7 linked regions of the Mus musculus genome follow. The protein of the gene in region 5 interacts with the protein of the main gene of each other region in a pairwise test. Links are inferred from orthologs where the notes say so. Each region holds a gene or a part of one and is shown on either strand. Other genes may lie near its edges. The genes, in order: Zgpat, Ampd2, Stk25, Pmp2, Ccndbp1, Mrpl15 and Ccdc146.

The links.
Region 1: the proteins of Ccndbp1 (region 5) and Zgpat interact in binary tests that used the Homo sapiens proteins (3 or more experiments, as listed by UniProt). The two-hybrid records come from large-scale screens. The link is inferred for Mus musculus from reciprocal best matches to the Homo sapiens genes CCNDBP1 and ZGPAT.
Region 2: the proteins of Ccndbp1 (region 5) and Ampd2 interact in binary tests that used the Homo sapiens proteins (3 or more experiments, as listed by UniProt). The two-hybrid records come from large-scale screens. The link is inferred for Mus musculus from reciprocal best matches to the Homo sapiens genes CCNDBP1 and AMPD2.
Region 3: the proteins of Ccndbp1 (region 5) and Stk25 interact in binary tests that used the Homo sapiens proteins (3 or more experiments, as listed by UniProt). The two-hybrid records come from large-scale screens. The link is inferred for Mus musculus from reciprocal best matches to the Homo sapiens genes CCNDBP1 and STK25.
Region 4: the proteins of Ccndbp1 (region 5) and Pmp2 interact in binary tests that used the Homo sapiens proteins (3 or more experiments, as listed by UniProt). The two-hybrid records come from large-scale screens. The link is inferred for Mus musculus from reciprocal best matches to the Homo sapiens genes CCNDBP1 and PMP2.
Region 6: the proteins of Ccndbp1 (region 5) and Mrpl15 interact in binary tests that used the Homo sapiens proteins (3 or more experiments, as listed by UniProt). The two-hybrid records come from large-scale screens. The link is inferred for Mus musculus from reciprocal best matches to the Homo sapiens genes CCNDBP1 and MRPL15.
Region 7: the proteins of Ccndbp1 (region 5) and Ccdc146 interact in binary tests that used the Homo sapiens proteins (3 or more experiments, as listed by UniProt). The two-hybrid records come from large-scale screens. The link is inferred for Mus musculus from reciprocal best matches to the Homo sapiens genes CCNDBP1 and CCDC146.

What each region holds. Positions count from the first base shown.
Region 1 is NC_000068.7:181,363,659-181,368,361, forward strand, and holds the start of Zgpat (zinc finger CCCH-type with G patch domain-containing protein), read left to right. Parts: upstream 1-1,764; 5' UTR 1,765-2,013; coding exon 2,014-2,594; intron 2,595-4,703. Other genes in the region: Arfrp1 (ADP-ribosylation factor-related protein 1), read right to left, coding at 356-438, 653-740, 947-1,039. UniProt on the Homo sapiens protein: Transcription repressor that specifically binds the 5'-GGAG[GA]A[GA]A-3' consensus sequence. Represses transcription by recruiting the chromatin multiprotein complex NuRD to target promoters.
Region 2 is NC_000069.6:108,073,324-108,076,900, forward strand, and holds the end of Ampd2 (AMP deaminase 2), read right to left. Parts: intron 3,417-3,577; coding exon 3,290-3,416; intron 3,199-3,289; coding exon 3,035-3,198; intron 2,769-3,034; coding exon 2,648-2,768; intron 2,382-2,647; coding exon 2,208-2,381; coding exon of another isoform or gene 2,175-2,207; intron 2,037-2,174; coding exon 1,926-2,036; intron 1,799-1,925; coding exon 1,592-1,798; 3' UTR 739-1,591; downstream 1-738. UniProt on the Homo sapiens protein: AMP deaminase plays a critical role in energy metabolism. Catalyzes the deamination of AMP to IMP and plays an important role in the purine nucleotide cycle.
Region 3 is NC_000067.6:93,632,744-93,637,354, reverse strand, and holds the start of Stk25 (serine/threonine-protein kinase 25), read left to right. Parts: upstream 1-1,627; 5' UTR 1,628-1,808; intron 1,809-1,971; 5' UTR 1,972-2,027; coding exon 2,028-2,057; intron 2,058-4,611. UniProt on the Homo sapiens protein: Oxidant stress-activated serine/threonine kinase that may play a role in the response to environmental stress.
Region 4 is NC_000069.6:10,180,992-10,185,670, reverse strand, and holds the start of Pmp2 (myelin P2 protein), read left to right. Parts: upstream 1-1,785; 5' UTR 1,786-1,851; coding exon 1,852-1,924; intron 1,925-3,116; coding exon 3,117-3,289; intron 3,290-3,448; coding exon 3,449-3,550; intron 3,551-4,679.
Region 5 is NC_000068.7:121,013,938-121,017,412, reverse strand, and holds the end of Ccndbp1 (cyclin-D1-binding protein 1), read right to left. Parts: intron 3,456-3,475; coding exon 3,395-3,455; intron 2,901-3,394; coding exon of another isoform or gene 2,750-2,900; intron 1,283-2,749; coding exon 1,236-1,282; intron 1,015-1,235; coding exon 900-1,014; 3' UTR 501-899; downstream 1-500. UniProt on the Homo sapiens protein: May negatively regulate cell cycle progression. May act at least in part via inhibition of the cyclin-D1/CDK4 complex, thereby preventing phosphorylation of RB1 and blocking E2F-dependent transcription.
Region 6 is NC_000067.6:4,782,842-4,787,598, forward strand, and holds the start of Mrpl15 (39S ribosomal protein L15, mitochondrial isoform 1 precursor), read right to left. Parts: upstream 2,886-4,757; 5' UTR 2,837-2,885; coding exon 2,732-2,836; intron 1,265-2,731; coding exon 1,110-1,264; intron 1-1,109.
Region 7 is NC_000071.6:21,421,784-21,426,335, forward strand, and holds the start of Ccdc146 (coiled-coil domain-containing protein 146), read right to left. Parts: upstream 2,895-4,552; 5' UTR 2,782-2,894; intron 1-2,781. Other genes in the region: protein FAM185A, read left to right, coding at 3,385-3,793. UniProt on the Homo sapiens protein: Essential for sperm flagellum biogenesis and male fertility.

The sequences.
Region 1 (4,703 bases), about 60 Mb from region 5:
ACCCACATTAAGGTGAGAAAAACAGTCTACAAATTAGCCCCGTCGCCCACACGCATGCTGTGACACGCACCCCTCCCCCAATAAAAATAACTTAAAACCCGGCAGTGGTGGCACACGCCTTTAATCCCAGCACTTGGGAGGCAGAGGCAGGCAGATTTCTGAGTTCAAGGCCAGCCTGGTCTACAGAGTGAGTTCCAGGACAGCCAGGGCTACACAGAGAAACCCTGTCTCGAAAAACCAGAAAAACTTAAAAAAAAAAATTAGAAAATCTTTGGGGTAAATGTGGAACTCTCACAGAAAAGACTATGAGGGGCCATCTAGAGAAAAACAGGATCAAACAGGTAATGTGTCTTACCTTGTCCCACAAAGACTGCAGCTCTTCCTGCCCACCTAAGTCCCAAAACATGAGACGAGCCTTTCCCACGTCCACAGTGCCAACTGGAAAGAGTACAGAAAGAGCTAGCTCCTGACCTTTACACACAAGGTTCCAGCTCTCCCCAGGATGGGACAAACCATTCTGGTACCAATCCTAGGGAACTTGAACACAGAATAGAAAGACAGGGTTTTGACCACTGGTCAGCTGGGTTGTGGACCTTACAGCATCCATCTCTAAGGGACCTCCTAAGATCATATCCCTAAGGTGCCCCCTTACTGTTTAGACCCACGGTAGTGGTGATTTTGGATAGACTCATCCCCTTGTAGTTCTTGTTAAAGCGTGTTTTTGACTGTTCCAGGAAAGTCTGAGGAAAAAAAGAGAGGGGGTTAGATAGCAGCAGCTAGAGTAGTTTTCTGGTGTCCTTCCCACCTATCCCTTCACACCCATGCAGCCATGCACGCCTCTGCCTGTGGCTTGATCTTCAGGAGGCTGGTGACTACTAACCTGTAGCCTTGGGGCGGGGGTTAGATCAGGCAGGGAATGGGAACTGGTGAGAGAGCAGGGACCTACCGTCTTCCCAGCATTGTCCAGGCCCAGGATCAGGATGCAGTATTCATCCTTCTGGAACATGTACTTGTACAATCCCGAAAGCAGCGTGTACATCCTGTTCTGGCACCCTGAGAGATGTCAATGTGTGTACCGGGGGCATCGGCCTCCTGCCCTGCCCGCTTCATCAGCGGTCCGCCTCTCCTGCTAGTTTTCAAATGTGTAGCCTCGCGGATCCTGACTCTTCGCCCCCATCCCGCCTCTTCTGTTAAAATCCCTGACCCTGATTCCCCCGATGCCATCGCTGACCACGTGCTAGACCTGGGCCACTCCCACTTAATGTCATCTTTCATAATGCACCATCAATTCGGAGTCCTGAAAAGCCCGTGGCGGCCTGCTCTGCTCCGCCTTCCTAAGGCTCCTCTTTCCGAACCCTCAACTCAGAACCAGGAAACGCGGCCGGCGACTTAAGTCTAGGAAGCGACCAGAGAGGCAGAGCTCCTGAGGAGGGTCGGCTTCGGCTTCCCGCCGCCGCCGGGCCCACGGAGCCTGGGAACCAGCAGCTGAAGCCACTTCCGTCCCCCTGTTCCAGGACTTTAGAACCCCGGCCCCTCAGTCCAGCTGAGGCCCACCCGTACCTGCTCAGATCTTGGAGGAGGAGCCGCCGCCGCCGCCGCCGCCGCCGCCGCGTTCCTAACCCCACCGACCTCACGCTGACCCCTCACAGTGCCTGACGGAACAAGGAGCGAAGGACGGAGCACGGGCGGAATCGCATCCCAGCGGCCCCCGCGCGCAGGTACTTCCGGCAGCTTCGGCTCTCCGGCGGAAGTGCCCGGCGGAGGGCAGAAGGCTAGCGCGTGAGCTTGGCTGGCGAGGGCGGAAGCCCTTCTAGCCTGCGAGCGCCGGCCGGAGGTGGGGTTGCGGGCCGCAGAGGACGGGGCGGGTGACGTGCAGGTCCCCCTCGGCGGAACCGCGGCCCTCCTCAGGCTCCCTAGCGGTTTTGGGGGCGGCGTTGCCCTGAGTTGTTCTTACTGCTCTTCCTCCTGTTTTTGTCTGCGGTAAAGGTTCCGAATCCTGCCTGCTGGGTCGGGATGGACGAGGACAACCTAGAGACTGCCCTGCAGACCTACCGGGCCCAGCTGCAGCAGGTAGAGCTGGCGCTCGGTGCTGGCCTAGACGCTTCTGAGCAGGCGGACCTGCGTCAGCTGCAGGGCGATCTAAAGGAGCTGATTGAGCTCACCGAGGCCAGCCTGTTGTCGGTCAGAAAGAGCAAGCTGCTGTCTACAGTGGACCAGGAGAGCCCAGCTCAAGAGGATGCTGAGTACCTGGCTTTCCAGAAGGCCATTGCGGAGGAAGTGGAAGCGCCCGGCGCCCCCTGCAATGACTCGGAGACGGCCCCTGGGAGCGAGGTGCAGCCGGGATCCACCTCCTCTGCACTGGAGGAGGAGGAGGAGGACCCAGATCTGGAGGAACTGAGCGGTGCTAAAGTGAATGCCCCCTACTACAGCGCTTGGGGCACGCTGGAGTATCACAACGCTATGGTAGTGGGCGCCGAAGAGGCGGAGGATGGTTCTGCGTGCGTCCGAGTCCTCTACCTATACCCTACCCACAAGTCCCTGAAGCCCTGTCCGTTCTTCCTGGAGGGAAAGTGCCGGTTCAAGGAGAACTGCAGGTAAAACCCTCTGCTGCTAGCAATGAAGGGCACGCAGTCGGGACCACCGCTGTGGCCTGTCGCCACAACTAGTTTGGCACCCAGCAGAGTTGGTAATAGAGTCCAAACCTTAGGTGACTGACAGGCTTTTACAGAAGTGTTCTCCGTGTGTTTACTTAGATTTTTCTTGCATACATCAAGAAGTTTGAAAGAGCTTATGTTGAAAAGATAGGGCAATCCTTCATCAATATTCTTCTCCAAGGTGTAAAACTTTTTTTTTCCCCTTTGAGATAGCAGTGTAGTAACTCTCGATGTCCTTGAATTCTTGATCCGTCAGCAACTCTACTACATCCTGAACGCCTTCAGTTTCCAAATGCTAGGATTACAGGTGGAGGCCACCACTTCTACTGGGCTACATCTCCAGCTCGGAACCTTTTTTCTTTTTTTCTCTTTTTAAAAATTTATTGACTATGCTGAGGATGGAATTAGGGCCTCCAGCACACCAGGCAACCAACTACTGTACACCTTAGCCCCATCCCAGCTCCTGTAGTTTGCATAGTCTTACAGAAAATTTCAAACACATAATCTCTTGCTGACTTGCCCTACCTTCCCCCCCACCCCCCGTGCTACTTGAAAGCACCTTTCACAAGTTACATCTTTTTCTCTCACCCTCAAATACTTCAGAATGTAGCTGAAATAATAATTACTAAAACTGATTTATGTCTTTTTTTTTTTTTAACTCAGTCATCCAGAATAACCCTCTAGTACTTTGAATTTATTTATTTTAGGCCACTAAAATAAAAAGATTTGTTCTATTATAATGGTAGTAGTGAACTAAAATTAGTTTCACTTGGCAGGATTTTAGGCAGGGCTAGAGCCTTGGAAGTCTGAGGGCAGAATCCAGAACCCATTTCTTTGTCCATTTTTCTTTAAGGTTGTTATTATTATTTTATTTTGATTTTTAAAAAAATATATTTTAAAGATTTATTTATTTTGCTGGGCATTGGTGGCGCACACCTTTGATCCCAGCACTTGGGAGGCAGAGGCAAGCAGATTTCTGAGTTCGAGGACAGCCTGGTCTACAGAGTGAGTTCCAGGACAGCCAGGGCTACACAGAAAAACCCTGTCTGGAAAAACCAAAAAAAAAAAAAAAATTATTTATGTATGTGAGCACACTGTTGCTCTCTTCAGACACATGAGAGGAGGGCATCAGCTCTCATTGCAGATGGTTGTGAGCCACCATGTGGTTGCTGGGAATTGAACTCAATACCTCTGGAAGAGCAGTCAGTGCTCTTAACCACTGAGCCATCCCTCCAGCCCCTTATTTTGACTTATTTATTTTTTACTTTTTTAATGTTTTTCTCTAAAGATCCATCGGTTGCTTTTGTCTCATTTTGTTTTGGTAAGGTGGTTTGATACATGGTCTCTATGTAATCCTGGCTGTCCTGGACTACATACAGCTATGAAAGGCCTTGGCTGGCCTTGAACTCACTACCGAAAGGCTGGGATTAAAAGTTTGCACCATGGCCTGACTATTTTAGGCTTTTTTGAGACAGAGTTTCTCTAGTAGTCCTGGTGGATTTCCTGGAACTTACTATATAGATCTGGCTAGCCTGGAACTCAGAGGCATGCACTACCATTTCTGGCTAAGATATATTTTTAGTTAGTGTGTTTGTGTGTGTGTGTGTGTGTACGTGTGTACGTGTGTACGTGTGTACAGGTGCCAGAAGAGGGTATAGGATCTCCTAGAGCTGGCGTTCCAGGTGGTGGTGGTGACCTGCCGAACATAGATCCTGGAAAACAAACTCAGGACTTCTACAAGAGCAGTATCCTCTCAGCCACTGAGCCATTTCTCTAGCTCTATGTATTTACATTTATCTTTAGATTGCGGTGGGGGTGGGGCATGTGTACAGGTAGGTGCCCAAGAAAGCTAGAAGAAGGTGTTGGATCTCCTAAAGCTGGAATTGCTCACAGAAAACATTAACCACTGAGCTCTCTCTCCAGTCCCCAGAGACCACCCATATTCCCTGTTTTGTGGCATCCTCGAATCACTTTAGGCTCTTCTTTCCATGTTACATCTGTACTCTGCAAGTCTTATTTCTCTACTTTTTCTTTAGGATAAGGTCTCAT
Region 2 (3,577 bases), on a different chromosome or scaffold from region 5:
TTGCAATTCTGGGGCAGGCAGGCAGCCCCTAGGCCCTCTCCACCCAGCAGCAGCTGTGTAAGCGTCTGTTGCCTATGCACTAAGAACCCTGCGCTGCCCCCCCCCCTCCATTGCATTGGCAGCAGGTTCTAGCCACCTTAGTGGCAAAAAGGTGCTCTGCAAATTGCATCATAGGCACGGGTGGAAAGGGAGTTGCTAGTGATGGATTCCAATACAAGCAGCCCCAGCTCCATGCTGTACAATCTGACAGGTATATCTGTCACCACATCTGCCACCTTTGTGTCAGAATCCCTGAGGGAGGGACCCGGGAAGAGCATTTTAAACAGGCTCCCTAAAAGCCTCAGGCAGACATGTAGGAGCATATTTTCCCATCTACCTCGCTGCCCTAAGAGGCTGTACAGGAGGCAGGAGGTGGGAAAGATGCCATCCTTCAAGCAAGTATGTCAAGAATATACAACATGGACCTGGAGCCTCATGACCTATTCAGAAGAGGTGAACTGGATGAGGCTCAATGGGATCTCCTCTCCTACAGACACCTCAGTCAGTGCGCACATAATCCACTTCACCCATGCCATCACTTCACAGGTTGGCGGCCTACACTGCAATCCAAGCGCTCAGAAGCGTCGGCAGGACGGCCAGTCTATGTTATACAGCGCCCCACACCGTACTCCACCGGAGTGCCTTACCACTCCGCCGCCCTTCCCCCCCCTCCACCAACAGACACCTTCACATGCCTCATTAATTAAATAATCTTTTTATTTCTCATGCACTAGGAAAAAATGGGTCATATGAAACACTGTTCTTCATAGCAAAGGCCTCGGTCTAGAACATAACACAAGAGGCTGGCTGGGAACTGGGTCTGGTCAAAGACCTGGAAACCCCCAAAGAAGGTGCCACCTCCAGAGCTAGTAACAGTTCCAGCACCCTCCAACTGCAATAGCCTCCAACTGAGACAGGTCAGGGCAGCTGCCCCCTCCCACAGGGATACAAGGGGGCTGGTAACAAAGGAACACGTGGGCTGGGGAGGAACGGGGCTGATGGGCAGTGACTCAGCAGGGACAGTGGGCCAGCCCCTCAGGCCAGGCCTCCAGGGCCGTGAGTGAGCCTAAGTCCTGCTCTGCCCAGCGCAGACCAGCTGGAACTTCAGAGGCTGAGCAGCCAGTGCCACAGCAGAGAGATAACGAGCCCCTCCTGTCCCACAGCCACATAAACAAGAGGGAAACTCAACTTGAACTCTAACCAAAGCCTGGGTTCCCGGTGCTCAAGGGGCCAGCCCTACACAACCATCCCAAGCCCCTGTGGACACTGAGGATACCATAGGACAGCCAGACTTCTGACAATTCTGAGATGGGTCACGAGCAGGGCCAACTCTTAAATCTCAGCCACCAGGTACCACCTGAGCCGAGACAATAATGAAGCAGATTCCTGGACTTGCTTTCACTGAGGTGGCCCAGAGGCAAGACATGGTCGAAGACATGCAGGACAGAAACATAGCACGGAGACATGCAGAGACCACATCAGGTGGGAGGGGTCTAATCACGGTCACAGTCAAGTCGCTGAGATGGGACGAGCACTGCACAGACCAGGTGCACTAAGGCCCTGGGCTCATGACAATGCCCACTTCCTCTGGGATGGTCTCCAGCATCTCACTTTGGACGGCCTGTGTGATAAGTGCCAGCTCCTGGCATAGCGTCTCATAGCGGTAGCCCACTCGGATGTCTGGCACGTTGGTACGGCGGATATCATTGCCCTCAGGGCCCTCCTTGGTATAGTTGGGTCCCAGCCAGTGGCTTTTCACCTGCAGGGGTATAGGTAACAGGCAGAGATGCAGGTAGATCCAATTATCACAGGGACAAGGTCAGGACCCCAAATACAAAGGAAGGGAGAAGGGTAATGGCCAGCCCCAAGCAGGCTGAGTTCCATACCTTGTGAGAGAAGCCACTCATGAGCACGCTGTTACGGGCCAGCTCGCACATATCGCAGGAGCTGAGCTTCCACACCTGGGTGGCGATGCTGTACTCCTCCATCAGGGGCTCCTGCACAGGCCAGGTTCCTTGAGGCAGGTATCAGGCCCCTGCCGTCCCCCCCTCCTTTAAGGACTTAGCTAACAGTTGCTAAGCTCCAGCAGCAAGGGGGCAGCACCAACCTAGAGGCACCCAGTATCCCCCAGATACCTGCCCTTGGCTGCCCGCTGGCCTGGGTCTGACCTTGGTGAAGTGGAACTGCAAGGGATCATCTGTGGACAGCGAGACCATGAGGCCACGGGACAAGTACTCAGGGAGAGGGTTCCGGTGGTAGCTGAGGAACAGGCTGTTGTTGCTGAGCGGGGACATGGCGATGCCGATCTGAGCCAGGTAATACAGGTACTGCAGGACGGGGGCCTGGGCAGGAAGGGGGAATGGAGGACTTGTCAGGTGGCCTCAGTGCTGGGAGGGCATGCGTGCTGGCTCTGGGGCTTAGGGGAAGAGGGTGGTCCAGGCGAGGACTCACATAAGAATGATGAATCCTGGGCTGGGCTCCCCAGCTAGAGGATGGGTGGGAAGAGCTAATTATATTGGGAAGGAGGAATCTGATCTCATGGCTGGGGGAGGAGGAGGATGGGGAAGGCAAGCAGCTGCACGTGGAGGCTGGGGGTGCAGACCCTGACCTTGCGCAGGAGCAGCCCGTGGGAGATGTTCTCGGCCAGCATGAAGGCTGATACCAGGTGGTGGATGGGCCCGGCCTCCCCACAGTGCGGCCTCAGCACGAACGTGTGGAAACCTCTCTGCCTGTGGGGTATGAAGACAGAGTCAGATCCAGAGCCTGGGCACGCCTAAGCTCACCTGACCCCAGATCCCACATCACTCATATGTATGCCCTCCAGTGAGTGACAGTGGGGAACTAGGAGAGAAGACAGGGGCAGAGCCTTAACGGGAAAGGATGGAAAATTAAGTCTAAGGGCAGAGAAAGAGCCTGTCAGTCCAGGCACAGGGGCCATGGGTGTCAGGGCACCATTGACCTCAGCTCAGGAAGCACGCACCCCTGGGGCACGCACCTGCGCAGATGGTTCAACATAGCCATGTTAGCGAAGGTGTAGTACAGGTAGTAGGCATAGGGAGGGTTGTCCTCCTCCACCCAAGCTTCTGGGAGGGGACTCTCCAGGTTGAAGACGTGGTTCTCTGGCTTGGACTCATCATCCACGCTATCAAAACCATCCACCTGGCGAGGAGCTGGTGGTCAGACCTAGAGCCACAGCTGGGGCCAACCCCAGCTATCCTGCCCTGTCCCAGCCCATGCCACCACCGCTCACGTGCTCCAGAAAGAGGTGCAGCTCCGGGTGGCTGGCAGGGTGCACAGTAGCCTCAAACAGGGGCAGAAAGATGTTCTCCAGCATCTCTTGGAAGTTGGCCAGCTGGCCCTTGGTGCGGTACACATCGCTGCGGGGAGACAGGACACAAACAGATGCAGGTCAGGGCCAGCAGCAGGCCAGCAAGAGTCAGAGCTGTCATGAGAGGCACCGGAGTGCATTTGCACCACAGTGGGAGAGTGGGACATCCAGACAAACCAGGCTGGACAGACTGTGGCTTGGCCTCTCCTG
Region 3 (4,611 bases), on a different chromosome or scaffold from region 5:
TGACCCAAGAACAAAGCAATAAACCAATACGAAGTTTAATCTCATGAGTAGGGCTTTTCACATGAAGTCTGATGGTTCATATGGATAACCCCAGCATTTGGGAGGCAGAGGCAGAGGCAGAGGCAGAGGCAGAGGCAGAGGCAGAGGCAGAGGCAGAGGCAGAGGCAGAGGCAGAGGCAGAGGCAGAGGCAGAGGCAGAGGCAGAGGCAGAGGCAGAGGCAGAGGCAGAGGCAGAGGCAGAACTGCTGTGAATTTGAGGCCAAAAAGGGCCACATAGAGAGTTTTAAGCCAGCCTAGGCTACAGAATGAGGTCCTGTCTTAAAAATCAAAAATAAAGGCCTACAGAGATTCCTCAATCATTAAGAATTCTTGTTGCTCTTCCAGAGGACCAGAATTTAGTTCTAGCACCCATGCCATTCAGCATATGACCCTCTGCAACTCCAGATCCAGGCCTTTTCAGATCTCAGTAGGTTCCTGTTCACATTTAACATACACATATATGTACATAAATAAGTCTTAATAGAGTTGGCCTTGCCTAATTTCAGACTTTTCTATAGGAGGGATAGGTAGGCTGAAGGCCATCCTACAGATGATCTTTTTCAGGGGCAATAAAAATATTTGCCCCTATTGTTGATGCCTTGGGGCGGGGGAGGGGAGGAAACCAAGGTGCTTCAGGATCCAGGGCAGGGCTGTTTGCTGGAAGTCTATTTTCTTCTGGGGAAAAACACAGCAAAGAAAACCTAATCAACATGTAGTAAAATTTGGCGGTTAAAGAATCTGATGCAAGGTCTTGCATGCAAGGTTTAAGGTTCCAGGATGGTGCCCAGGAAGAAAATCCACCAGAGAACAGAAACAACAAGCCTTTATGAGTTGGGGAGTAGGGACATTATGGTGGTTTGCACTGAGCCGTCATAGGAATGGACACAGTATGGAGCCAAATCTCCCTCCCGTGGAACACTAGGAGACTGCATAGAAGTGGACATTGCTGACTAGTCACTCATACTGAATTCACAGGATGAAAGGCATCTTCCAACCTTTGGAAATCCCCGCTGGACCACACAACTCTTCCCAGCGCCAGGTCATGTCCTGGGGACCTACGATTAAACCTTTTCAGATAGGGAAACTGAGGCAGGAGAGAAGCACTTGTCCAACAATGGGCGACTTTTCTAAGGGCGCGCGTGGGCGTACTCCTTGTGTGTGTGTGTTGCTAAGCGCAGACAAGAAGGTCACACTGCGGTTAAAGCTGGAGCACCAGGATATGAGGGTAATGTGGGTTCGCACTCCAGGCACACAGTATGGGTCTCAGAAGCTTGGCAAACAGAACTGGGAAAATGAGAGGAGGGCTGAAAAAAAAAGAGAAAAAAAAGCCTAGAAAACGTCAAGGCAACTGCGCACGCGCTGCACCCGTCACCGCGCGGCCTGACAGGAGGGGCAGCCCAGCTCGGGCATATCTCAAGGTTCGGATCCAATCTGTGGCGCATTTGTGCCTCTCCACTGACCGCCCACCGCAAGTTCTCCTGGGACTTGTAGTCTGTCGCCATCAGGGCCCCGGAGCACTTGCGTAACACCTCATCCTACCGCGCAGCCTGCTGGGACTTGTAGTCTCAATTTTGCGTGCCCGGGGTACGGGGCGGGCTGCGGGACTCCTAGTCCCACAGAGCTTCGCGCTCGCCACGACGCCCTGCTCAGAGCCGCTGCCTCCACCTCACGGGCTGGGAGGCCTGGGCGTTCCGGGAGACCGAATTGCGGTGTGAGCCGCCGTGGGGACTGCGAAGCGGGCCCGGAGTCCGAGATGGAGCCGCCCGGAGGTGGGCGCTGCCAGCGGGCCTCGCCTGAATGTTGGGGAGGCCGGGCACGCCCTGAGGGCGGGTCGGGGGCCCTGGGCGCGGGACCGGAGGTCGCGGGTGGAGGGACGCCACGGAACGGGTCCCCCTGGCCACTGTTGACCGAGCGGCCTGCGGTTTCTCGCAGGTGCTTGAGGCGAGCGGGCGGAGCGGCTGCGACGGACTGGTCACGTCAGCGGGGACATGGCTCACCTCCGGGGCTTCGCGCACCAGGTGAGTGTGGGCGTCGGCGTGCCCCGAGTCCGTGGTTCGCTGTGGAGCGGATTTGTCCACTTGAGGCGGGAGAGGGGCGGAGGCCGTCTGCCTCGGGGCGCGTCTTGGGGCCGTTGGAACTCTGGCCTGTGCCGAGCCAGCGCCTGCGGAAGACGTGAGCCCCAGGGAACGTCTGCGGGGCGAGCGCTTCTGCTCGGGAGCTGCTGGGGGCAGGTGCAGGAACCTGCCCTGGGCACAACCTGCTTGACCCAGGCTCGGAGCACCTTCCCAGAAGATGGACTCCACCTTCCTTGGCTAACGGGATGGAACCCCGACACGGGACCGCACAGGAGATGAGGGCTGCGTAGGGTCAGAGGGTTCGGTGGTTTGCTCTCTGGACCCCCTTTCTCGCCTTTATTTTATTTGTGGTGTTGTTATTTCAGAGCAATATGACAGACAGCTAGTGAAGTGGAATGAGCTGCCTTGGCGGCTGATTTTCCTCTGGCTTTAGCTGTGGGATTTGCGTTTTAAGGGCTTGGTTTAGATAGGCTTAGGCTTGACAGTTGCACAGTGAAGGAATCAGTTCCTGAGGACAGTGCAGCCGCTCACCCCACCCCACCCTGACCCCCCTTCTCCCTGCATCCTTGAGAACTGGTTGTGTAGACAGGAAGCATGTCCGTCCGCTGCTTGTGGGCAGGAATTGGAGGCAGGGCTCCTTGGAGGAAACCAAACCAGCCTGGAAGACTACTCACAGCTGTTGGGGAGGGCTTTTGGCCCAGCTGTCACAGATGGGATCCCGAGCTTGCTAACTGATGCTGAATTAAGCTAACACATTTTTAATACATTTTGACATTTCGCCTCTAATTATATAACATACTAAGAGAGAGAGAAAAAAAATCTGCCTCTAGTTTATTTTTAAGAGACTTAAGCTTAGCTTATGAAGGTCCCAGGATGACAAATTGGAGCTATGAATTGCGAAGGAGTACAGTAATGATGGCTAGGGGACCTTTCTCAAAGAGAAAACACCCTTTTTGTCTTTTTAGGGGCCTGTGTCCAGCCTAGACATACTTGGCTTCTGAAAGTGACACAAAACCTTTGTAGGGCTGCTTTCTCCCAAGATGGCTGCCATAGAGTCCTATGAAATTGCTCCTTTTGTGTGATAAGGCTTGTACTTTCCCCCTGTAGCCTGTGCTTCTGCCTTAGATTACCTTTTACCCGGCCTGTTCCTGCCCATCTCTGGAAGGACCAGATGGTTCTGGGCAAGCACTGTGTGACTGTGTGTGGTAGATGAGGGAGGATGTGTGCTGAGTTGTTCCTCTTGTTTTGGAGAGGTGATACACAGCAGGCATGTTGGCAGAAAGGCCAGAGGCTGTAAGTATAATATCCCTAGGATGGAATGGAGAGCGAATGGGTCTCAGTTGTTCAGAGTAAGTTAGATGGCTTGAGTGATGGTTCATAACACATTCTGTCCAGAAGAGAAATCTGAGCCACCCAGATCAGCATGCTAGCTGTCTGTGATTGGCTGGGTTTGGGACTAGGGCTGCTTCAAAGGTGTAAATACAGAGACCATGCCAGAAAGGCTCCTATCATACTGTTTCTTAGGCTGACTGGTTCACAGCTATAGGTACCCAAAAAACGTAGACTTTGAAGACTAGGGTTCCCACCTTCCTTGCACAAAGTCTAGAACTCTGGCTTTGGGATCTGTTATTTTCTTTTCCTCTGAGGCAGTGTGAGTGAATACCTGGCCTGAAGTATCCTTCTTCGGCTACTGTAGTGGACAAGTTCTGATTCTAGGTTCCCCCAGAAGAGAGCAATTAAGAATTCTCAGTATGGCTGAGCAGTGTGGGAGGATGTGGTGTCTGAGCCTGAGTAGTAGGAAAAGGGCTACTGAGAACTGGAAGGATAGTGGTCCTGGGTCATGTAGTTAGCCGATGGCTTGACTTCTCTCTAACAGGCTTTCTTAGGCTACAAGCACTGGACTGAACCAGTGATAAGACTGTATTGCCTTGAGTCCTCAACTAGACCTTCTGGAGATCTTTGAGATGGTTTTCAAGGTGTCTCAAAACTACACATGGTGGAGCTGTAGCATCTGAGGAGACAGTAGAGGCCAAGTGGTTAGAGAAAGAAGGGTTTGAAAAAGTGTTTTGGGGCCTGCTGGAGCAGAAACAGGCAGAAAAACAAAACAGAACAATAACAACAACAACAAAACAGGCAGGAAAAGGTCTGCTATGTGGCCCTTGCTCTGCACCTGGCTTTCAGGGCTGGCTTTGAGCAGGGGATCAAGTGGTCACTGCCCAGACATGAAGTGACAGAGGCTGAGGTCTTTTCACACTGATCACGTCTACCTTTATCGGTGGTCTCCACACTGATGAGTGTGGTTAGAGCACATGGCCTGGAGTGGTTCTTTCTGATCTGGCTTGGATCCAGTGCTGATCTTGAAATAGCTAAAGTGTCTGTCTTATCCGCCACACTTGAGAATTTTTCTTGGCTTTTTATTTAAGCAGGTGAGGCTGGGATCAAACCCTACTCCCTGGCCAGTGGAGCTTAAGGAACTCAGGCAGCCCTTAGCTTTCTC
Region 4 (4,679 bases), on a different chromosome or scaffold from region 5:
ATGTATGTGGATGTATGCTTGTGTGTACATGTATGTGTGCTTATGTGTGTGCATACACACATTGTATGTGTGTATATGTATATCTGCATGAATGTGCTTGTGTGTGAGTTCACATATTTATGTGTGTATGTATATGTATGTGTATATGAATGTATGTGTGCACACATGTATATATATATATATATACATATATATATGTGTATATGTATATGCATGTGTATGGTTTGTGTGTGGTGTGTGTGTGTGTGTGTGTGTGTGTGTTTGTGTGTTGGAAGAAGCTAGTCCATAGTCAGGATCTAGCACTGGGGAATAATGCTAGTTTAAATCTGGACTTTTGTTTTAGTTTTGGAATAAGTTGTCTAACTTCAAGATGCAGTTTTCCTCATTGTCAAGCTGTACATAACAATATTGCCTGTCTCTACTGGGTCTGAGAGGATGAAATGAGACAATCTAAGCAAATCACATGGGACTATCCTACACTGAGCTCTCAGAATTCATTAGGATTATTTGGTAGGAAATCATCTCTCTATAAATCTGTGGACTTTAAATAAAATGCTTTAAATTCAAGGTTGTCATAGAAACTAAGAATTATTATCCTCAGGTATGCTTTTAAAAAGAGATGAATCTAAACCACAGTCAAAGGGCACGCTAGAGTGCTGCTTCCCATCCTGATGCATGAATACAGCGTCTGTGCTCTACAGTGGCAGACTGACTTTCTTGTCTGCCTACTCTGCCTGCCCAGAATATGTAAACTATGCCAAGCCTCCTTAACTTCTCAATGGGCCCTCAAAGTGTGGGCTCCCATTTCCCTCCCACAGCATATTTGAGACACTTATTACAATACTCATAGACTGTCCCCCCTTTTAAGAATTCTGTGACAACCCTTACCCTACGCCACCCCACCACCCAAAAAGTAACAACCTAGCTAGAGAAACATGAAGAGAACGCTTAAAACTTGTCATAAAGATGCTCCAATGAGTATATGAACAACACAAACTGGGTTTGTTTCTCCTTCTCCTTCTCCTTCTCCTTCTCCTTCTCCTTCTCCTTCTCCTTCTCCTTCTCCTTCTCCTTCTCCTTCTCCTTCTCCTTCTCCTTCTCCTTCTCCTCCTTTTTCTCTTCTCCTTCTCCTCTTCCTCCTCCTTCTCCTTCTTTTTCTCCTCCTTTTTCTCCTCCTCCTCCTCTTCTTCCACCTCCTCCTCCTCCTCCTCTTCCTTCTTCTTGAGGGAGGGAGTTGTAAGGAAGGGAAGCAGACCTGGGAAGACTGAAAGTGAGTGTGATTAGGGTGGTATTATATGAAATTCCCAAATAATCAATAAAAATTAATGCAAAACAAGAACTCTTAATCGTGCTGAGTCAGAATTAAAAGTCAGTAAGATACCTACACACATGCAAACGTGTGCGTGTGCACACACATCCACACTCACACACAGACACTCAGACACACACACACACACACACACACACACACACTCATATAATATATAGAAGGGCTTAAGCATGCCTATCAATGTAAGATGAACCAAAAATATCTTAAAGGTTCAAACAATACTTTCAGTTGTTTTTGTGGTTTTGGAAACACAAGGACATTGTGTAGAGGATTATTTCACCCATGGATAGGCAGTGTACGACTTAAGAGCCATTCATCACTCAGCCTGGTCGCCGCCTTTCCTCATTGGGTCTCAGGGTGAGTCACATGCTTTGGGTTTCTTTGAAAAGAGCTGTGCAAGATCTCAGCATCTCCCAGGCATCTGCTGCATCCCACCAGGAACTCTACTGAACTCTCTCATCATCTCCCAGGCATCTGCTGCATCCCACCAGGAACTCTACTGAACTCTCTCATCTGTCACAATGAGCAACAAATTCCTAGGCACCTGGAAGCTTGTCTCCAGTGAGCACTTCGATGACTACATGAAAGCTCTAGGTGAGAAGTGCTTTATGACAAATGTCCCTTGAAAGACAGATACACAGGGTTTTCTTCCAATATTCCCCCTCCCCCGAGTCTGGGGAATGTTTCGTGGGCTGAGTGCAATCTTCTGTCTCATTCATAAAATTTACTTCCATTTCACTGGCAATAAATAAATTAGAACTTACACAAAGCTATTTAAATGCATGGAACTTGAAGACAGTTTTGCAGGTTTGCCGTTGGAAATTTGGGGAAAACTATTAGAATTTGAGTCAATCCATATTCTGGCATTTTCTGAAAGCTTGTTTAATAGAAATTAATGTGGTCATAAGATTATGAGTTGAATACTAGAAAGCCACAATTTAAAATTTTAACCTTTATCCAAACTAAAAATTTTGTCTCTGCTTTGAGTTTGTCTGTAATTAAATGATCATCTAAGTGTGTGAAGCTTGACAGATAACACATTTCCTAGATGAGGAAGCTTGAAAACTGTGGAAGTTGTTGAGATCAAAAGAGCTAGTTGGATGCTGTGAGTTCAAACTCCGTCCCACCAATGCCTGCCCATCCTAGTGTTGAGCAGGGACTACAGACAAGAGTGTGGTGGAGACTTTGTTCTGTTTTGTTCTTCTTACCAGGCATAGTATGAACTACAGAATGTCAAAAATATGATTCTACCAAGGAAATGGGGGGAGGGGGTGTTCTGTATATCCGTAGCTACTTATGGACAGAGAACGTGTTATAGCAAGGTATGTGGATGGGAGATAGTTAGGCTGAAAGCAGCTATAATGTTTGTAAATACAAACTCAAATGTCTCTAATGCTTTATACAAATCTGAAATGACTTATTTTATGGTGAGGATACCACTGGACATGACAGAGTGGACAAACTAAACTTTTGCAACTGTGTAGTTTTATGCTGTAAACTCTGTTGGCATCACTGTTGTAACAGTACACTAAAATGCTTGTGTCACCAACATGCATTTTCTCTCATTGTTGAAACTTGGGAGGAAGCCCTTGGGAGGAAGCCCCACCATCTACTCATTGAAGGTATCACTGAATAAAGAACTTTAAACCTATGGACATGGCATCTGTCTCTTAGATATGCCTCCTTAACCAACCAATCAATCAATCAATCAATAAATAAATAAATAAAACAAAAAACAAAACAAACAAACAAAAACCCCCCAAAACTGACATACCTTGCTTTTCAGGTGTGGGGTTAGCCAACAGAAAACTGGGAAACTTGGCCAAGCCTACTGTGATCATCAGCAAAAAGGGGGATTATATCACCATTAGAACGGAAAGTGCCTTTAAAAATACAGAGATCTCCTTCAAGTTGGGCCAGGAGTTTGATGAAACCACAGCTGACAACAGAAAAGCCAAGGTAATTTGTAATACTGTTTTCCTGAAAGCTGGTCCAGTGGACTACTGAGAGCTAGGATGATCCCTTCTCAGAGTTAGGGACCTGGGGAATGAATGTGACTTGATGAGACATCTGTCATGGAAACTGAGATAAGCCAAGCATGTGAACGTGTCTTTGTAGAGCATCGTGACACTGGAGAGAGGCTCCCTGAAGCAAGTGCAGAAGTGGGATGGGAAAGAGACAGCCATAAGGAGAACGCTGCTGGATGGGAGAATGGTAGTGGTAAGAGCATTTCCAGTCCTCGCAGCAGAAATAATGCCGTATATATTCATTGGCTGTGCTTGTTGCAAAATGTCCCTTTTTCTTTGGAGTATAAATAGACAATAACACCAAGAATAAAGTCAAGGGTTAGTGCTTGAGTGAAAAACCATTTTTAAAAATTCATGTTTGAGTCCTACGTGTGCTAGGTCAAGATTTTAAGTGGTAGTATCTAAACAATAAAGTTAATGAAAATATGGATGAATGTCACTTGTTTAAACTTACTGCCAAAAAAGCCTATACTTCAAAAGTAAAATATAACCCTGGCGTGCCCAATTATAGAATATTGTAGTAAAAACACTTTGTTTTTCCGGAGTCCATAGGAACTTATCCTAAACTATACCAAAAACACAATTTAAGTTCTAAGCTCTGGAGACCTTTTAGTTAGTAGATCAGAATGAGGCAAAGGAGTCCACCAGATGGACTCTAGGGGAGTTTTAAGACTGTGAGTCTGTGCTCACTAATTAACACACACTGAATATACATACAGTCCTCTAGTGGGTTGAGTATTTCTATTACTGTGCACTGGGTTTAGCTCTAGCTCCACAACAGATGTATAAGAGTCAATTCAACACAAGGTCCCTTTTACGGATCAACCAAGCCAAATCTCTCAGGGAGTATATTTGGCTGCTCTTTGGGTAAGGCAAATGTGAAAGCCATTTTGATGTTAGTCACTATTCTCCTTGTGACCAGAGCCAGCTAAAAAGCATCTTCAGAGAGAAGAACTCATTTTGATCTGTAGTTAGAGACTGTCCATCACGGCAGGGAAGACAGGAAGGCAGATGCTTGAGGCAGCTGGTGGTGCACATTTGGGGGAAAGGAAAATGGACACTGGCACCCAGCCCACTGCCTCTGCCTTAGGCTAACGCATGACTGGCATGTCTCTATGCTAGCATGTGTCAGGTGTTCAGGTCCCCCACCTCAATTACCCTGGCGGAGACTGCCCCTCACAGACATGCCGAGAGGTTTGGTTTGTCTTTGTGATAGATGATTCTAACTCCCACAAAGCTGACAACCAACATTGCGCATTATAACTATGACAATTTTATTGGATTTAAATGCATCTAAATTGTGCATTAAAAACTGCTGCTTG
Region 5 (3,475 bases):
GTTATGCCTTGTGCTGGCAGCCAGACTTGGTGATGTAAGTTACTCAAGTGGTGCTGTTTTTGAAGGTGTGAATGTGTCATGGGAGCAGCTGAGGCTTGGCAGTTTGTGGCAGGGTTAGAGTTCCTGAACTCAAATTAGAGTAAATCCCAGATATAGAACATGGATTTACTTGCACTGATGGAGTGTGGTTTTGCTTTGTTCAGATTGTGACTGTACCCTGGTTCTTCCATCTTGAAGTAAGAAAGTATTTAACTTATTTTTGATTTTACAGGAGCCCACAGTTTAGAAACTGAATTTAAAAAGAGATTTTAGGTTTTAAAATACACTTTTTAAGTCAGGGTCTTTCTGTGAGCTCTGGCTGTCCTGGAATATACTATGTAGACCAGGCTGGCATCGAACTCAGAAATCTACCTGTCTCTGCCACCCTAGTGCTTTGATTAAAGGTATATGCCAACATGCCTGGCTTATGATAGAAGATTTTAAATGACACTTCAGAGGACACATTAAATGACACATTTAATCACAGCAGGTTAGCAATTTATTGAGATCATTAAAATCTTAATAAAACAATATGCTTTACTGTAGTAAACTAGAGAACAAGTCAACTTCCTTAAAGATTTCCAAAAAACAGCTCAGAGCACAAGTTTATAGAAATTTGTGTCCAGCACAGAAGCATAGCACACTGTATGATTGGTGGATAACTGCAATCTCTCCTAGCCTGGAGTCTTGGTAACAATCTCTTCTTAAGGACAGAGGCTGCCTTTCTATCGAGCAAACACCCTGTCAAAGCTCCACTTCTAAAAGCAGACGTTAAAAAAACTTAAAAAATAAATAGGTAAAGCAGACACTGGATCGTGGGTGTGAGAGAGAGGGGAGAAAGAAGAGTAGGGATTGGAGGCTCACAGTTCAGCTGCACGCTGAGTGAGCGCCTTAATTCTGTTCATGCAATGGTCAACGGCATTAATGAGTAAAGGAATCCAGCTATCTCCTGGGTGGGGGCTCACGTGACTTGCTCTGGAATAAAACAGAAAAAAAAAAAAATCAAGTTAACACGGCGTGAAGGGAAAAGCATTCCCAGGAGGCACAGAGAAGAAACTACAGTAAGAGGGATTCCCCTTCACAGACTGGCTGCTCCACACCCCTACCCATACCCGCATGCTAATCTGAAATGGGGCAGAATAGCTGGGCAGATGATTTTAGTCTCAAAACACACAGGGAGAAGTCTTCATACTTACTTTGTAATTTCAAGAGCCTTTATTAAAACAGACACCAATTTCGCAGACTAGAAAAGGAACAGAGATAACATTCACTCTGAGCCATGGCACCAATAGAAAGGAGAACTTGAAGATACAATTAATGATGATAACAGAATCATTTAAAAAGAGCCTTAAAGTGGGTGGAGGAAATGTTTTGGTGCTCTAAAACCATGAAGACCTGAAGACCTACCTGAGTTTGAACTTCCAGCACTCATGTTTAAAAAAAAAAAAAAAAGCCTTGACTGATAAGGGCTGATGAGATGGCTCAGTGGGTAAGCACGCTGGCTGTCATGACAACCTGAGTATGATTCTTGGGACCCACATGATGGAAGGACTCCCACAAGCTATACTCAGGTCTCTACACATACAATGACATACAATGTGACTTACATATGCATACACAATCAATCAATCAATATATAGATGGATGAATGAATGAAGGAATGAATGAAATTTAAAATGCTGACTAGGTTCTTTTCTGTTTAACAAGATCTTAGGAACACCACTGGCATAACATTTATATGTTTTCAACAGTTTTAATTTCGTTTGTTTTTTGAGACAAGGTTTCTCTATGTAGCCCTGGCTGTCTTGGAACTTACTTTGTAGACCAGGCTAGATTCAAACTAAGAGATCCACCTACCTCTGCCTCTGGGATGCTGGGATTAAAGGTGTGTGCTACCACACCCAGCTCATCTTTAATATTTTTAATTTGGAACAAGGATAACCTCAACCTCGCAGAAGAATGGTGAGTTTTAAGGCAGCCTGAATTACACACAGGAAGAATTTCTTTTTAAAAGGAGACCCTAACAGTTATAATAGCTCAGGCTCGGAGGCAGAAATGGCATACGGCCCTGTTTAGAACTTTAAGAAGCTCAAGACAGGAAGACGGGAAATCTCAAGACCTGAGGTAGAGCCGTGCTTAGCACGTGTCAGACCCTACTCTGAACCCAGCCATCATATCCACAACAAAGAGATAGCGTGGAGATGGATTACGGCAACAATATAAAATAATGCACATAAGCACATACAAATTTATAAATTACTTCATATGATACTGTATTTGGGATCACTGATAGAACATCTTGTTAAAATTTTATTTCTCAGGAATTTAGTTCTTAAAAAGTTAATGCCAAAAAAGTTAATGTTCCAAAGAACCTGCCATCCTGAAGAGTTCTGCACATTAATCAATCTTCCACCATCTATTTTATCAAATATTGAAACCAATACATCTTGTAAAATGTAAGTTGCTTGGCAGGATCACCTCCCTGCCAGTTACATCAGTGAGATGAACTGGAGGTCATTAAAAACAAACAGAACTATAAAGTTACAGCATTTCAAGAATACAATCAAATCACAAATACATATGTATATTATACATACAAAACATATATTGTGGTACTGATTCAGTGTAATTAGATCTCATGGCTAAGAGTGTTTGCAAGCATAAGGACAAGAGTTCAAACCCAAGCACACATAAAAAAATGACGTATGACCATGCGTGTATCTGTTACTCCAGCGCTGTGGGCACAGAGGCAAGGCGATCGCTGGGCTTGCTTGCTGCCAGACCAGCTCCAGGTTCAGTGAGTGAACTGTCTCAGGGTAATCAGGAAGAGTGACAGAGCCTCTGAGTGTCCACACATTCACCTGCACACAAACATGGGCATACATGCCTCTCCTCCCCAGATAAATAAAAAATGTTCAAAGATTGCTCCTTAATGCACTGCTTTCTAAGATGTTTGGACTTTTTTTCAAACAATTATTCAAGTGGTTCTAAAAGAATTAAAATATCAGAGGCTAGAGAGATGGTTCAGTGATTAAGAGCACTAATTGCTCTTCCAGAGGTCCTGAGTTCAATTCCCAGCAACCACATGGTGGCTCACAACCATCTGTAATGGGATCTGTAACCCTCTTCTGGTGTGTCTGAAGACAGTAATGGTGTACTCATATACATAAAATAAATAAATAAATCTTTAAAAATAAAAAGAATTAAAGTATCAAAGCACATGGCTATTATAACAAGAGTCCAGCTAGTATTTATCAAGCCAAATACAAACAAGAACTATGAAGATATTTTATCTGCACACAAGTTTGGTGATGATATAAATGCTCTATAAATACTAATGAAAGCTGGTACTTACACTGATCCGCACAGTGAGGTGGCACACAGGTGGGTATATGCTCAGAACCAAGTCATCCACACTAAGAAGCAGACAGACGGA
Region 6 (4,757 bases), on a different chromosome or scaffold from region 5:
ATAAATTTATAAGCACAACACAAACACATAATAAAACACCAGTGCTTCCTTTGGTCCACTAAAAAAAATTTACCTCTCTAAACATTTACTTCACTCATGGACACAAGTAACTCACAGTTTAATTCAAGATAATATCATAAGGTGCTGGAGAGATGGCTCAGCATTTAAGAGCACTGACTGCTCTTCCAATGGTCCTGAGTTCAATCCCCAGAAACCACATGGTGGCTCATAACCATCTGTAATGAGATCTGATGCCCTCTTCTGGAGTGTCTGAAGCCAGCTACAGTGTACTTACATATAATAAGTAAATAAATTTAAAAAAATAACATCATAAAATAAAAATGGTACCCACTACAATGTGCCATAAACATATTATATATGCATACATATTATATACATAATGTAATATATATATATATACATACATACATAATATATATGGGGATGTTTGTGTATATGTATCTAAATATATCTATATTTCAAATATATACCCATTTAAAAAGGTAATATACAGGCTGGTGAGATGGCTCAGTGGTTAAGAGCACCGACTGCTCTTCCAAAGGTTCCAAGTTCAAATCCCAGCAACCACATGGTGGCTCACAACCATCCGTAACGAAATCTGATGCCCTCTTCTGGAGTGTCTGAAGACAGCTATAGTGTACTTACATATAATAAATAAATGAATCTTTAAAAAAAAAAAAAGGTAATATACATGGAAATAAAAATACATATGGCAAGATACATTTACCTTTTATATATAAATATAGATACAGATATATATAGATATATATAGATATGGAAAGATACATATACATTTTTCAATTGTTAATCATCTAAGGAATTATGACAGCAAGCACTATCATCAGCATGTTGTTGGTCTGAGTAGACTCTGTACAAATGTGCTTTTCTGGGGGCATAGTCATACAGTGACACAGACAATAGAGGGTAAGTTACATTACTAAAAATTATTCAAAGCAACAGTACCATAAGTGTGTTCCTAAATAAACATAAGGTATCTACCAAATTACTTGTGTACTTCTTAGTGGAAATTACGATTTGTACTTAAAAAAAACAAAAAACAAAAAACAAAAAAAAAAAAACAACCTTACCTATGTCCTTCATTAAATCCATATTTTGGGATTCGTATGTAAAATGGAGTCTGCCCTCCCTCAAAGCCCAGCCTTGGCCGGGTTCCTCTCTGCCTTTCTCCTTTATGGCCTCTGCCACACTTCCTACCTCTTCTCCGATCTCTTGGACGTCTTTCCTACAAGAAAAAGTGAGTTTTAAGATCTTCAGATACATTTCTGAAAACTGTCTCATCTCATAGCATATTCCATATTAATGCTGTTTATCCATTGCACCAGAGGTAAAGTACCGTGTGCCAAGCCCTGCTCTAGCTGCGTGCTCATCTTTATACTCCACCAACATAGTTCTCTCAGAATGTAGCTGATCCTAGTAACCAAAATACAAGGTGAAACACAGGGCAAAGTTCTAAGGAAGGGATGGGATCCAACAGGAATAACAAGCTCTACAATAAGCTAGGTCCCTGTAGTGATTGCTATCTGCTAGGTTGAGGCAGGAGGATTCAAAGTTCAAGGCCTGCCTAAGCTACAAAAAAAGGGCAAGGCCAGCAACCCCCAATTTTCTGAGAGTCTGTCTCTGAATAAAGCATTTAAAAATCGGGAAAGGGAACCAGATGTGGTGGCGCATGCCTTTAATCCCAGCACTCGAGAGGCAGGGACAGGAGGATTTCTGAGTCCGAGGCCAGCCTGGTCTAAAAAGTGAGTTCCAGGACAGCCAGGGCTCTACAGAGAAACCCTGGGGGGGGGGGGGGGGGGGGGCGGTGAGAGGGCATCGGGAAAGGGTTTGGGATTACAGCTCAGTGGTATAGTGTGCTTGAACAAACAAGCTAAGGGCCTAAATTTAGTCTTCAGGAAAAAGCAGCTGGAACGGAAAAAGAAAATCCTAGAACTAAACAGCCAAAACGAGGCTTGAGTGACATTAAATGTTTTATTTTTAAATTAATCGTAAATATGTAATTAGATCACATATGGCTAAGGAAAACTCCAATTTTTGCTAGGGACACATTCTAATTTCCTAAATTCCTAAAAGATAAGCTCCTGGCAACTTGTCCCCCTCCACAGAATTGTAAAACTGATGTGAAATGATTAATTGCTTCGGTAAAGTTCCTCATGTAGCTGTAAGTTCCCCAGAAATAAAGTAATTGCGACCTTTCAAAGCCCTCCACCTTCTACCCCTTTAACCTGGGCCTAAGGGGAATTGTGGTTGGCTGCACTATAACATTAAAAAATTGGCTAATTACAACTGGATAGAGTCGGGTAGTCTTTCGGTGTTCTCTAACTCCGTAACATCTTTCCCTTAATTGACTTTGTCAACCGCCCCCCCCCCTAAAAAAAAAGCCGTATATTAAGTTACTGTAAAAGCCGAGCAGCCGACCCACAACAGTTTTCTAGTTGCACCCTGGGTTGCACATTGGCCAGCTGGAATGTAGAAAAAACACTGGGATTTTTATAACGACGATAGGCACTTGCTAAGCAGTTCAGTTTAAACGCAATTTTGGATGAATCGTCTGCAGTTCCCGAGTGTGTACCCTCCGCCTGCTTAGCATCCTTAACACTGGGCGCACGCGGAAGGGAGCCAGGCGCCCGCACGCGTCCATCGCCAGAGTGACGCGGCCCCTGCACTCCCCGCACCGCCGCCAAGCGTTTACCCGTTTTCTGGAGTTAGGACTGGGCTTCAGGTTGGCCAGGCTCACTCTCGGCAAGGACCGCAGCAGGTCCAGGCTGGTCCCGCAGCCGCGCGCCGTGCCAGCCATGACCCGCGGTGCTTCAAGGGCGCCCAGGAAGCGGCGTAGACTCCGCGTTGCTTTACGGCTCCGCCCGGCCCCTGTCGCGCTGCAGCGGCCGTACTGCCCCGCCCCTGTCGTGCTGCAGAGCGACCGCATCCGCGTCGGTAGGCTATGTCTTCCAGCTTCCAGGCTTGATGTCTTTTTACTTCGGGGAACTGCATCAACTTTTGTGAGATCATGCTTTATCCTCTGGCTTTGGTACCATTTTGTGAACGAAAACTGTTCTCTTCTGCCCTGTAATGACTGAACACGCTGTACGGTAAAAGTGGGGCCTCATGAAGCGAAAAGTAATCCAAAATGATGTGAACAGGTTCAAGCTTTGAGACTCTGGTAATTCAACTGTTACAGTGCCTGGCTCTAGAATTAATTGTCTAATTAGGTTCAACCTAATAGCGTGCCTTGCAGTTAACGATGGGGGGTGGGGCATACTTAGCTCCTGGGGTATGCCAGAAACTGAGTTAAAGTTAGCCTTACTAGATTCATATAAACAACCACGCTAGAAGCGAGGTGTGGTTTTATGCCTATCAGATCGACCCAGCTGTCACAGCAGATGGTATAGATAGGATTCAAAGCTAATGAACTTAAACTGCCAAACATATATTTAACTCTCCAAATTAAATGATTTTTAAAACTTGTCTTAATACAAGTAATATAGAAAACAATGTGTTCATTTTTATATTCTTTTTCCGTTCCACTGTCTTGCTGGAGAATTGCTCCTACCAAGCTCTATCAGTTATATAGTGAAGGTGAGACAATTTAATAAGCAGCTGTTTCTAACTCAAATAAACCTTTATTTTTATTTTATTGATTCATTGTGAATTTCACATCATACACTCCAGATCCACAATCCCTCCGTCCTTTTTGCCCTTGCAAACCCCCCCCCCCCCAAAATAAAAATAAAGTTTAGGAAACCTCATCGTGAAGCTGTCGTGTGTCACAGTGTGTCCTACAGTATACCCTTTTGTCCATACATTATTACTTGCAAATGTACATTGCAATGAGTCATTGGTCTGGTTCTAGGTCTCTGGCTTCTGCTACACCAATATTGGATCCTCACAGGGACTCTATTCGGTTATCCTGCTATTGTCCTAGGTCACTGAGATCCTGCAGCTCTGGATCAGCAGGACTAGCTAGCCCTTTCACATGTTCCAACAGGTTACACATAAGGTAGATATCGGGGTGAGCTACTCAAAACCATGGATTTGGGCCTGGGGCCAGAGCCTGCTGGTCATTCAACATGGAAACCACGACTTGGGGTATGAGGATGATTATAGGAAAGGCAAAAAGAAGATGGAAGAGACAGATATGGGAGGGCTACAGGTCAATACCACCACTAGCAGCAAGTTTACTTTCTCAGTGTCTTTTAAAGGCTAGCAACAGAAAGCATGACCAATTCCAGGAAGTTAAACAATGAACATGAACATTTATGTGATAAGTGTATGGTACACACTATCCATGTTTGACTAAGGCCATTTCCTTCAGGCTTGGACAGTCTCTCAAGGACATATGTAAAAGCAGAGGAACTTGGCAGGATATAATGCATGTCTTAACTAAAAGCAAAAGCATGTTAGCAGACTCATTCATGATTAATTACAAGCAAGAACTCAGCCAACATTAACTCTGGAAGTGCTCCCCACATGTCCCCTTTTTATCTATGCAAGCCAATGAAATTGAGGAAAGCCAAAATACTGTGTTGCATTTCTTGTAAGGATACATTTTCTTTATTGTATGGTTTATGTGATGTCACTAATATTAATCAGTCATAGTGGAAATGGTCTGTAGCCAATTGTATGCTGTTTGTCCCATATGCAACATAGTAAGCATAGAAAACTATGAGAATGAATTGAAGAGTGCCACAGACTCTCTTTGGTCACTGTCTGTGTGGAAC
Region 7 (4,552 bases), on a different chromosome or scaffold from region 5:
CAAAACAAAAAAATCTTGTACATTTGTAATTTAATGCTCTCATCCCCCCAGAACCACAGTTTTGGGGGTCATAATGGCTTCATCTTGTTTTTCTGAATCTTGTTTCTTCAGCTGTCATGCAGGGAGAAGAATAACTATCCTTCTTAATAGCTTTTTGTGAGAAAACCGTGAGATGGTACACGGGAACATACTTTGAAAACTATATCACTCACTTTTACAGGTAGACAAGTTTGATACTGACTAGCTTGTTAGGCATTGGTAACTAATATCTTACGTCACTCTTAATCTCTACCAGATTCTCGGGTTCCACCCTCATAAAAGCAGGAAGGTAGTCTTTCAGTACGTTTTAGTTCCTTTGCTTGAAAGTAATGAAATAATGACCGTGTCACAGATATCATGATGGCTCAGTTGTCAGTTCTATTAAGTTATTTTTCCTCAGAAAAGGAAAAGTGACTATAGGAACAGGATGATTTATTAAGGATGCATATTCGGCCCAAATATATGCAGCACGTCCACAGCAAATCAGAGCGCAGTTTCAACTTGCTTGTGCCTCTTTCAAATGTCAAAGTATGACTCTTGGGTTTTCATTTAAAAAAGATAACTTGAAGGCTCGTCTGAGTACGTACGTCCACATGGGACACAAAGCCAATGGCGCTACTCACTGAGTGAGCACTTGCTTATCATAAAGTCTATCTTATAGCCTACTGAGGCAGGAGAGAAACACGGGAACATGATGGAGAACTGGGAATAAAAGGAGCCCTCATTCCAGAGCCTGACCAGTGTGTCTCACCAGCTGAAGATGAAGAGTTCTAACACAGCTGTCAACATTATCGATGAGGATCACCAGTCTCTTACATAGTGATACTTTCAAGTTACATTGTTGAAGGAGCAATGGATCACATGTAAGGCCTAAATATATGTGTTCTTTCTTCTTTCTCAGCTATAAACCAACAGTTTTCTAGAAATCTTACCCAAAACCCTACTTCTAGTAAAGGACATGTTTTAATTCCCTTTTACAATTCTTGTGACACACAGTTTTATTTTAGGACTGTAACCCAATCCAAGACATCTCTAGAGTAATCCTATAATCTCACTTATTGAAAAAGAAGAAGAAGAGAAAGGTTTTAAAGAAGTTTCTTAGAGAAATCCTTTGAGGCATAACATGAGAGTCAGCAAAAGAGTGACTCTGGAGCACTTCTGCTAAGTCACTTAGGGCAAGCTCAAGGGAGCTTACACCTGTGCTCTTGGGTGTGTCTCTTTCTCTCCCTGTGTGATCAGTCACCTCTAGCAACCCCTGTGCTCTTAAACCCTTGTTTAAAATCTATTTTAAATCAACCCTCTTTCACATTAGCTTCTCCCAACATTTTTTTTCCAGCAAAGTCAAGGACAGGTTTCACCTTGGTGGAGGTCCTCAAGGATAGGGGCCTTCTTCTCAGATGGCTGACAGCAGGGCAGGGCTGTCACTGCCACCACCACTACCATAGTCTTCACTAAGAGAACAACATGGACGCTGGGGAGGACTTTAGCCTAGTCTATCTATCCATCTGTCACTTCAGGTTCAAAGAATTGGGGTCCCATATTTGGCTGAGAGTTTTGATCTTTAAAGGTATCATTTTATTTACTTATTGTGTATTTTATTTGTCACAACGTTCTCCGTATATAGTCCAGGTGGGCCTCAGATTTGAGATCTTTCTGCTTCAGCTTCCCAAACTCTGAAAACTTACAAGTGAACACCATCACACTGGACTTGCAATTAGTTAAATCTGTATGTAAGGAATTTAGGGAATTATTTGTAGAATGGGGAGAAGAATAGGCAAATATGGCTGAAATAATGTCCACACCCCCCATTTCCCATTATCTTTACTGCCTACTGAATAATAAAAAAAAGAGTTAACTTATAGAGTTATTTAGCACAGTCTGTCTTATATCAAAACTGAAGAAACATTTCTTGTGCCATAGATAATACAACAGGACCAGGAAAAAATTCTGACATCCCCTAACAAGTCTTATGATCCAGAGAGAGAGAGAGAGAGAGAGAGAGAGAGAGAGAGAGAGAGAGAGATTTTATTTTACCATTAAGGCCAAGGACCAGTTGCAGGGAAAGAGATCAAGACTGTCCTCTAACCAAGTTCAAATGTCTCCAAATCTCTTAGCAACGTAGACATATGCCATTCCTAAAATACTTTGTTTTGTATACTGTGCACTGCTTTGTTGTCCATTGTTTCATTTGATAAATGTGGTAAAAACGAAAAAAAAAACTTCTACACAAGACAAGGAAGATAGTGTCATCATTTTATAAGCAAATAGTAAAACCCAAAGGCATCCAATGACTGGCCTAAGATTACTACTTACAGTTAAGAAAGAGCCAGAATTCTAACACTTTTTCTTTTCCTTTTTTTTCTTTTTTCTTTTTCGAGACAGGGTTTCTCTGTATAGCCCAGGCTGTCCTGGAACTCACTCTGTAGACCAGGCTGGCCTCGAACTCAGAAATCCACCTGCCTCTGTCTCCTGAGTGCTGGGACTAAAGGCGTGCGCCACCATACCTGGCTTCTAACACTTTTTCTATCTAGTATTTTTTACCTAAGTGGGAGTTCCCTTAAAGGACAGAGAAGGGAGAAAGCAACAGAACGTGTCTGTCCTCTCATGCTAAGGTCTCTTGTGAGGGGGATTCTCTATTCCCAGGGAATCCACATTAGTTTGGTGACCTTTGGTTCTAACTACCTAAAGAAAGTATTCCTAACTTTGAATCTGATTCCCATCTATAAACATGCTGTTTCTTACCCTTTCTTTTGGTCCTGATCCTTGTTTAAACTCTTATTTTTCTCCGTGTGTTTTGGTCCCTGGGGTCTCACTTCAAAACTTCACCCTCTCCTAAGAGTCGCGTCCTTGGTATCCAAAGTAACCACAGCTGAGTTTATCCCGTCCCTTCTACTCTTCCTATTGGTCAGTTACATTAACTTTTTTTCTTTCTCTGCTCTCTTGGCCAATGGGCTTGAAGCAACGGGAAAGCAACGAGGGGGGAGCGGGGGCTCCTCTACCAATCGGCTGTCAGTCTGTGTATTCAGCGCACTGTCTCCTGGGATATGTAGTTTCACAGTTACCAGAACACCTTGATGTTTGGCTCCTTTAAAACTACATATCCCGATGGCCTCCGCCAAAGGGGCGGAAATAGGTGACTTGTCCAGGTCAGGGTTTCAACTAGGCTCTTTGAAGTTTTAACTTTCCTACCGGGATTTAAGGCGTTAAGTACTGTGCTGGGGGCCTGGCTCGTTCTTCCTTGGCGGAGCCGTGCATGCTGTCCCCTTCGTGACTGACCCGAGGCAGCTCGTGGTTCTTGTGGTCCCGGGACCAGCGAGCCAAGGCTGAAGCGTTCCAAGGGAGAGCATGTTCGGCCGCCTCCCTCCTTGCGCGTCCCGAGTGCGGGCGGGCGCCTTGGTCGGAGCTCTCGGGGCTCGGACTTGCGGCTCCAGTGGGGCGCAGCGGCAGGGATCAGCGCCCGATGACTCTGGGGCCGGCCTGGCGCGTGGGGCTCTGAGGGAGTGGACGCTGCAGGTGAGCCCGTTTGGGCGACTGAGGGCGCGGCTCCCTTGCCACCTGGCCGTGAGGCCCCTGGATCCCCTTGCGCACCCGGATGGCGACCGCGTGCAGGTGGCGGTGTGCGGCGTGGAGCACGTGGCGCGCGGCCTGGACAGCCTGCAGGTCAAGTATGATGCTGATCGGCAGGAGATGGCCATTCTGTCGGACGACATCGACCCCCAGGCGTCGGTGGAGGTGAACGCGCCCGTCAAATTTGGCAAGTGAAGTGAAAAAGGGTTTGGGTCACAAAACTAATAGTGTTTAAGCGTTGGGTTTCCAATTAAGGAGGAAAATTAAAGCCGAGTGGAAGCTTGTATTGGAATAATCTGAGTCTAATTACATTGTGGAGCCATTAGCATCACAGTCATTAGCATCGTTCAGGGTTGAGGTTTCTTGATAACTATCCAGTGGTTTGGTAGCCCACATCTCGGGGCTCTGGTCCCTCGTCAGCTCTATGTATAGATGCTTCCAGCTAATCTAGAAAAACAAAAACAAAAACAAACGAACAAAAAACCTTGCTTTCCAACAGGTACCCAGGTTGGTAGATGTCTATTCATTTAGGCATAAGTAAATTCTCTGCGAATACAAACTTTGAAGCAAGACACATAGTTAAGACTGTCTGGGGAAATTCATAATAGTACCTGCAAAACGTATTTCTTAGGCATCTGAGTCCCGTTATTTTATTTCCCAGATGCAAACCGCTGAGCACACATACTTTTCTAGAAAGGGTTCTGGGGCTCTCATTCTTCCTGGAACTGAAGGATGGTGTTGCTGATGATAGCAATAGCACCGTTTACCTCTTCTAAAATTATTTTATATTAACCCTCACAGTTGCTCGGTAGGGTGGATGCTTTTGTCACCGTTTCAGATGAGGACATTGAAGTAAAGGAAGTATAAGATACATACTGTGACTGAACAAACAAAGGCCCCGTGCGTGGTGACATTATGAAATTTGCTTCCTTAGGTGTCTTTCCAC